Rhinolophus ferrumequinum: one gene and its partner. The protein of the gene in region 1 interacts with the protein of each later gene in a biochemical or structural test. Links are inferred from orthologs where the notes say so. Each region holds a gene or a part of one and is shown on either strand. Other genes may lie near its edges.

What was found.
Region 2: the proteins of CAV1 (region 1) and PTGS2 form a complex in vitro, tested with the Homo sapiens proteins (2 studies listed by BioGRID). The link is inferred for Rhinolophus ferrumequinum from reciprocal best matches to the Homo sapiens genes CAV1 and PTGS2.

What each region holds. Positions count from the first base shown.
Region 1 is NC_046309.1:26,399,503-26,403,251, reverse strand, and holds the start of CAV1 (caveolin-1), read left to right. Parts: upstream 1-1,493; 5' UTR 1,494-1,768; coding exon 1,769-1,798; intron 1,799-2,364; exon of another isoform or gene 2,365-2,497; intron 2,498-3,191; coding exon 3,192-3,356; intron 3,357-3,749. UniProt on the Homo sapiens protein: May act as a scaffolding protein within caveolar membranes. Forms a stable heterooligomeric complex with CAV2 that targets to lipid rafts and drives caveolae formation. Mediates the recruitment of CAVIN proteins (CAVIN1/2/3/4) to the caveolae.
Region 2 is NC_046305.1:17,297,498-17,301,246, reverse strand, and holds the start of PTGS2 (prostaglandin G/H synthase 2), read left to right. Parts: upstream 1-1,028; 5' UTR 1,029-1,132; coding exon 1,133-1,187; intron 1,188-2,001; coding exon 2,002-2,118; intron 2,119-2,245; coding exon 2,246-2,389; intron 2,390-2,907; coding exon 2,908-3,051; intron 3,052-3,356; coding exon 3,357-3,538; intron 3,539-3,749. UniProt on the Homo sapiens protein: Dual cyclooxygenase and peroxidase in the biosynthesis pathway of prostanoids, a class of C20 oxylipins mainly derived from arachidonate ((5Z,8Z,11Z,14Z)-eicosatetraenoate, AA, C20:4(n-6)), with a particular role in the inflammatory response.

The DNA.
Region 1 (3,749 bases):
ATCGCAGCTGAAGACTGAATAACAATAGATGGGAAACGGTTTCCACATTTTTCCATAGAACATAACCCCAACTGCTTTGCAGCCAGCATTTATGAAGGAAGACTTAGATGAACAGCAATGTTCTAGCAATCATTAGAAGTGGACTGGGCACTACACAACACATGGACCCTGACACCACCCTTTTCTAGCATATCATGTTTGTTAACACACAATTTGTTCAAAGAATTTAGAAATACAATTTAGCAGAAATAAAATGAAGAAAGACCAAATTTGGAAAATCTTTGGTATTCTCATGATGATTAGCCAGCATAATTAAATTCATGCCAACATTTGTGACCTGCTTCCAGCTACGTAGATGAAACTGATTCTTTTCTTAAAATTTATTGCCTTTTTGCTATAAATAAGAGGCTGTCTTTTGTAGTTCTTATATGTTCATGTCCTCTCTATAACTAGATAATTAACTCTAAGGGTTCCATCCTCTTTCTCCTTTTCCTCCTCCTTTAGTGCCCTCCCACATTCCCTTTTCTAGGCTGCCAGTATTTTAAATGTAACATGTGTCCCTTTAGGTATATTCCCAGGTTTTTTATTTCAAGTCATAATTTGACTTTTTATTGTATATGGAAACTTAAGTAAAAAAAATCCTTTCCACTTTTGGATAATGAATTTCCTGATATACTATAATCCCAAAGTAAAAGTGACTGATTGTTGTGTAATTCATCTTGTGCTACTTTATAATAAGGTAAAGAAAGAAGCCCCCAATTCAGGAATAGATAAAATATTTTAATTACTAACAATTTTTAGAATTCTAATCAATTAGTAGAAAAGTGAACTCTCCCTCAGCTCACAACCAAGCATATTTTTTTTAAAAAAATCACCTCTAGTAAACCTGAAGCTCCAATGAAATATTCCTACAATTGTAAATATTTTACCTGTTTTGTAACGATGGCCTGACCTGTTGGCATGAATATCCTTTGTTCCAGAAAAGATCAGTAATAAAATTATAGAAAAGTTTAATATTTTTATTTCTTATTTCAAATCGTTTGGGAGACGTTTCAGAAGGCGTTGGGAAACTTTCGATTCTGCATGCTTGCTTCCTCCAAGTTTCCATCCACAACGACTAAATGTAAAGCAGTGTCCCCGAAAACACACCCCACATCGCACCCACACAGATTCCTTCCTAGTGTTTCGATGTGAAATGCACCTAAAGGTTCCGCGCCATTTTTCATCCCTTCCTCTGTGAAACGGGTGATAGTTGTGTCTGAGGCAGCGATGGAACAGACATGGCTTAGGGCGATAGGAAGACACGGCTGAGAACCGCGCAGGATTCTTGTGGAAGCTCGGGTGCCTATTCTGGGCTCTCTCCACTCTCCACCCCTGCTGGGATGATGCTCTGAGAAAAGACTCGCTCTCCCCAGGACTCCTCTCAGCGGTTCCTAACTAGGAAAATGTTGCCCTGGGTTTACAATACCCGCCCAAGCAGCCCAGCGACAGTGAAACGCTTTCTCACTGCTCTGTGGCCCCGGCGGGCGATTCTCGCCCTCTGCTGCCAGAACCTCTGGGATGTGCCCAGACCCGGCGCTGCGCACGTCCCAGCCAACCCCCAGCCGAACAAGCCCTTGGCCCGCGGCCAGGAGGCTCCCTCCCAGCCACCGCCCCCCGCCAGCGCCTTTTTTTTTTCCCCATACAATACAAGATCTTCCTTCCTCAGTTCCCTTAAATCACAGCCCAGGGAAATCTGCTCAGAGCCTTCATCCAGCTACGGGCCAGCATGTCTGGGGGCAAATACGTAGACTCCGAGGTAGGCTGGGGTGGTGCGCGCCGGGCCGGGCACGCCAGGAGTGCCTGCGTCTGCTATCTCCCACTCCAAATACCCCGGCTGCTTTCCTCGCCCCAGCCCTCTCTCCACTTCGGGGCACTCCTCTTGCGCTGGCACTGCTGAGGAATGGGCCTGGGCGGGGAGGTGAAGAGGAGGCAGGAATGTTCTGTTTTCCTCCTGGGAACGGGCTCGGGATGAGGGGTAAGGGGGAGCTAAGCTAGAGGGAAAAGGGGACTCGGGATCCTGAAGTCGGGTTTCCCTGACCCAGGATGCGTTTCTGGGTGGGGTCCCAGGTGCTGCCTTCCTGCAGAACCCCCACGGTCCGGCCCGTGCCTGCTGGGAGGCGGAGAGCTGCATCTGGGTGGGAGGTCATTCACCCGCAGTCCTGAGGACTGGCCCAGCGACTCCCCGCCAGGCGCCTGGACCGCCCGGCCCCGCGACGGCGTGCGCGGTGTTTGCACTTTCCAAAGCTCTTAGGCCACCTCAAGAATTCTTCCCGCAACTCTGCGCCTGGCAGGGGTGTTTGGAGAGGGACGCACTTCCCTTCCCCCAACTACCACCACCCCTTCCAACCTCCCTCCCCCCGGGAGTGGAGACCTCGTTTTCCCAGACGCAGCCGCCGTTTAGCCACCGGTCGGCAGCCTGGGAGTGACCTGAGGGTGGGTCGGGAGAGTAGTGCAGGTGAGATAATCGTTCCAGGGAAGTTTTGGGATCTGACACATGGCTACGCCCAGAGACGGGTATGCGGCTTGTAAGCACCACGGGGGTTGGAGGAGCTGTGGAAGGACAAAGAGGGCACAGGGAGGGTGGGTAATGAGGGCAGGTGCTAGGGAGACGCGGCAGGAAGCAACGAAATGGGGATACTCCATGGGTCAGGGAGTTCAAGTTGAATCTTAAGGATGAAGCTGGAAGGATTATGGAGAGAGGGAGAATGGGGTCCAAGGACCGGAAAATGGAGCAGGTGAAGCACTCGGAGTGAGGGAGAGGGGCTGGAGAGAAGTCAGAGGTGGGTCCCGTCCCCCCCCTCCCCGCTGCCGGGGTCTCTGCAGGGTACAGTGGGCTGGGCGTGCGCTAGGCGGGGGCCAGAGTGGACTGCGCGGCGGGATTTGCCCTGACCCCTGGCGGCGGGCGGGGGAGGCAGGCGCTCCCTGCCTGGTACGAAGGGGTGTGGTGTCCTCTCCCCGATCCTCTTAAAAAGCTGCGGCGCCAAGGAGCTGGCTGCGCGCGGAGCCACTGGTAGAAGTGGTTCGTTCGATTTTGAGCCTTGGGGCTTGTTCCGCCTCCCGGCTGACTTCTGATCTCTTGTTTTTCTTTTTGAACATTTCTTCCCACCGCCGGTGCCACTCTCCCTCTCCTGGCCGTCCGCCCTCTGCAGGGACATCTCTACACTGTTCCCATCCGGGAACAGGGCAACATCTACAAGCCCAACAACAAGACCATGGCAGACGAAATGAACGAAAAGCAAGTGTACGACGCGCACACCAAGGAGATCGACCTGGTCAACCGCGACCCCAAGCATCTCAACGACGACGTGGTCAAGGTAAGGTGAGGCGGCCAGCGAGGAAGGGATGTGCCCCGAGGGGACGCTGTCAGGGCTCAAACAGCTCTGCTTTGGCAAGCAGCCTGTGCTTGCTTCTCCACCTTTGACACACACACACACACACACACACACACACACACACACACACACACACCGTCTTCTGGGCTCCATGTGTGGGAGTTCCAGCGGTCGTCAGAAATAGCTCGTCTCCCCTCCCCCTCCTGCTGGTTAGTTCAGCTGGAATTTAGCGAACTTGAGTTTTGTAGGCTTTCATACAACTGCACTCTTCTCCTGGCAAATGAACCCCTGATCTCAGCAACAGACACACTTGCACTCCTTGGAAGGGTGAGATGGTTACACTACAGGTCACCCTCTCTCCGTTCCCAGGTTGAA
Region 2 (3,749 bases), on another chromosome or scaffold:
GGACAAGGAGACCAGGAGTATAAGATAAGCTACAGGACTTCTAGTCGCCATGCTGCAACTGCCCACATCCTGGAATTTTATAATTATGTTGTTTCAGGCTAGGGGCTGTTAACCCTGACCTGAAGATAGCAGTTCTCATGCTAACAGTCTCTTACATGCTAACAGTCTCTTACAACAGGATGACCGCTTAGGAGCAGTTCTGGGAGAGGAATTTACCGCCTTCCTCTCTAATAAGCAAGGACGGGGTGGTGGTGTGGAGAACAGTATTTCTTATTTCTAAACTCACGTTATCTATAAATAGGAGTTACAGATATGTACACTGACTATAGCTATATTTCATTCAACTAAATAAACATTGAAAAAAATTGAAGATACGTATGTGCTGCATATAAACTAGGTTAAAGGTCGTCACGAAAAATCAAACATGATACGTTTGAAATACATGACACGTGTAAAACATGTCAGCGTTTGTTGGCTTTGCTTGTTCCAGTCTGTCCTGACTGCCTTCCTTGGCATTCCAAAGAACGAGGGACCCAGACAAGGCGGCGGGGACGGCGCTCCAGGGGATTCCCTCCGTGCGCTCTGGAACCTCTGGACACCGATTCCCGTAGACGCAGCGTAGTGCCTCGCCACCCTCACTCCCCCAGGGGGATTGTCTAGAAAGTCGGCTCTGGGAAGAGCTGGGGCAAAGACGGGGAGTAAGGAAAGGAATCAGGCGCACACCCGAGCTCCGGGAACAGAGGAACTGCGGGCGGAAAACGTGGAGATCGGAGTGGGGAGGGTGGCAATCCGTTTTGCACTACCTCGGGGAAACTGAGAGCAGCTTCCCGTGTTTCCGATTTTCTCAGTTGGGGGAAAAAAAAAAAAATCCTTCCCCCATCCGGGTCTTACGCAATTATTCTAGTGGGGGCCGGGAGTTGCGGGAGGGGCGGTAAGGAACCGCGGAAAGAAACAGTCATGGCATCACGTGGGCTTAGTTTTCACGCATAAAAGGAAGGTTCTCGCCGTTAGCTTCCAGTTGTCAAAGGACTTGCAGCGAGCGTCAGGAGTACGCCCAGGAACTCCGCCCAGCGCCTCCTCCAGCCCCGCGGCCCGAAGCTCACACAGCGCAACGCCTTCGCCCGCGGCGGAGATGCTCTCCAGCGCCTTGCTGCTGCTCTACGCCACCCTGGCGCTCAGCTGTGCAGGTGGGTACTTGGCGCCGCTCACAGGGCACTGCCCGCCAAGTTTTCGCTCTGACCTCCCGGAGGTCCCCTTCGCTCTGAATGCTCTCCGGATACGGAAGGCCCTATGACTTTGAAAAGAGCTTGGACTACTGGAGGGGGATATCCCAGCTTTGCCACCAGCCAGTTACTTAACTGGTCTGGGTCTCACTTTTCTCATTTGCTAAATAGGAATAGTGGTACTAATTTGCAGGTTGTCGTTATAATAATACAGGATCTGATCAATATATGGTGAAATGTGTTTGTGTGTGTGTGTGTGTGTGTGTGTGTGTGTGTGTGTGTGTGTGTGTGTACCTACTGTTGTTGAGTGGAAATAATTGTTTTAAATTGCCTCATTAGTGCTTTCCTGCCCCAGGAAAACCCAGGTTACTTTTTTTAAGATAGGCAAGATATTTTAAAAGTAAGCTGTTTTAAACTTTGTCATTTTCCCTAAATTTTGATTAATGTACTAGATCTATCCATTTGAATTTTGACAGTTCTACTTCTTTGAGGTTCTTAAAAATGCTAATTTGGACATCAAAAAAGTTACTAAGAAATAGCTTAGCAACATGATTTCTCAGGATGAATATTCCGTTAGCCTTATTTAGAATAGAAAGTTGGTATTTCTACCGTATAACCATTCTGTGAGACAGGTTTAAAAAAATTGTTTTCCCGTGACTACCTGTACATTTCTTGCATTTCTTATCGTAAAATTGACCCACAGTAAGCAAAACAAATATTTAAGTCAAGATTAAGACACTGAAGAATGATTTATTTACTGTCTTTACTTTTATTGTAGGAAATCCTTGCTGTTCCAACCCATGTCAAAACCGAGGTGTATGTATGAGTGTTGGATTTGACCAGTATAAGTGTGACTGTACCCGGACAGGATTCTATGGTGAAAACTGTACAACACGTAAGTTTGCCCTTGGGTGCCCTCATTTGGAAGGGGGGTATATGTACCGCTACCATTTTACAGATTTGTGTCTTATAATGGGCCCCCTTAATTTCTCCTTCCTTTTTTTTTTTTCCTCTTATTGCAGCTGAATTTCTGACAAGAATAAAGTTATTCCTGAAACCCACTCCTAACACAGTGCACTATATACTTACCCACTTCAAGGGAATCTGGAACATTGTCAATAATATTCCCTTCCTGCGAAATGCAATTATGAAGTATGTGTTGACATGTAAGTACAGTCTCTTTCTAAGGTTTTCAGCTTCCTCAAAGGAAAATGTACTTTATAATACTCCAGATTGCTAAACCTAATCTAAAAACATATTTCCAACCTTGTCAAAATGACTTTAAATATATCTTTTTAGTGTGATTTTTAGCTTAATGGTAAAAATACTGACATTTAAGTCTCATCCAGTTTACAAAGTCCTTTCTCACAGTCAGAATTCTACTTACAATCTGTATACCTCTTCCAAGCTTCTTGGATGGTTAGTTGAAAAATCAAGATGGCTAGACCATCATATCTTATGTACCACATATATACTTTACTAAAGATGTACTTTCCAGAATCATTGTTTTTTAAGTACAAATGGCAGTTAGACTTTAAAGTGCAATTGTTTTAAAATAGAGTATCATTGTTGGAATTCAATTCAACCTCTGGTGCTACCTTGTACATTTTACAATAAAAATGAACATTGATTTGCTTTGCAAATGGGAACAAATAAAACAATTTCTTTCCCTTGAAAATTTCAGCCAGATCACATTTGATTGACAGCCCGCCAACCTACAATGCACAGTATGGCTATAAAAGCTGGGAAGCCTTTTCTAATATCTCCTATTACACCAGAGCTCTTCCTCCTGTGGCTGACGACTGCCCCACTCCCATGGGCGTGAAAGGTGAGTGAGAGGAAGCAGTTAGAGATGTATTGCAATGGGGGTTGGATTGCTACTTAGAAAATTTGACCCTAAACTATCATTTGTTCGTTAATAAAAGTATCGTTTTTTCCTTGCTTTATGCATATCTATGGAGATCTTTTTTTTTGAAAGTGTGAATCTATGTAAACTGTTCCATGAAAGTGAATGGGCATTTTGGTATAATGTCTCAATGTTTTCACATTTTTTTCATTAAAACTGAGTTCATAATAGATCACTGTCTGCTTTCTTGAATATAGAGATGGATTCTTAGCTTTCTCGTTTTTCAGGAAAGAAAGAGCTTCCTGATTCAAAATTGATTGTGGAAAAATTTCTTCTAAGGAAACAGTTTATCCCTGATCCCCAGGGCACAAATTTGATGTTTGCGTTCTTTGCCCAGCACTTCACCCATCAGTTTTTCAAGACAGATCACAAGCGAGGACCAGCTTTCACCAAAGGACTGGGTCATGGGGTAAGACAGCACTAAAGCAAAATGATAGCAAATCAGAGTGAAGTGCTGATGTTAAAGACCATATGTTTATTTGCCACACCAAATAATTGACCCTCTTTTTAAACAATGTCCTATTTGTAAAAACCTGAATGGCGTTTTCATTTTAATTCAATGGTTCAGGAAAAATACATACCCATACATATATACAGATATTATTTGTAATTTGACTCAT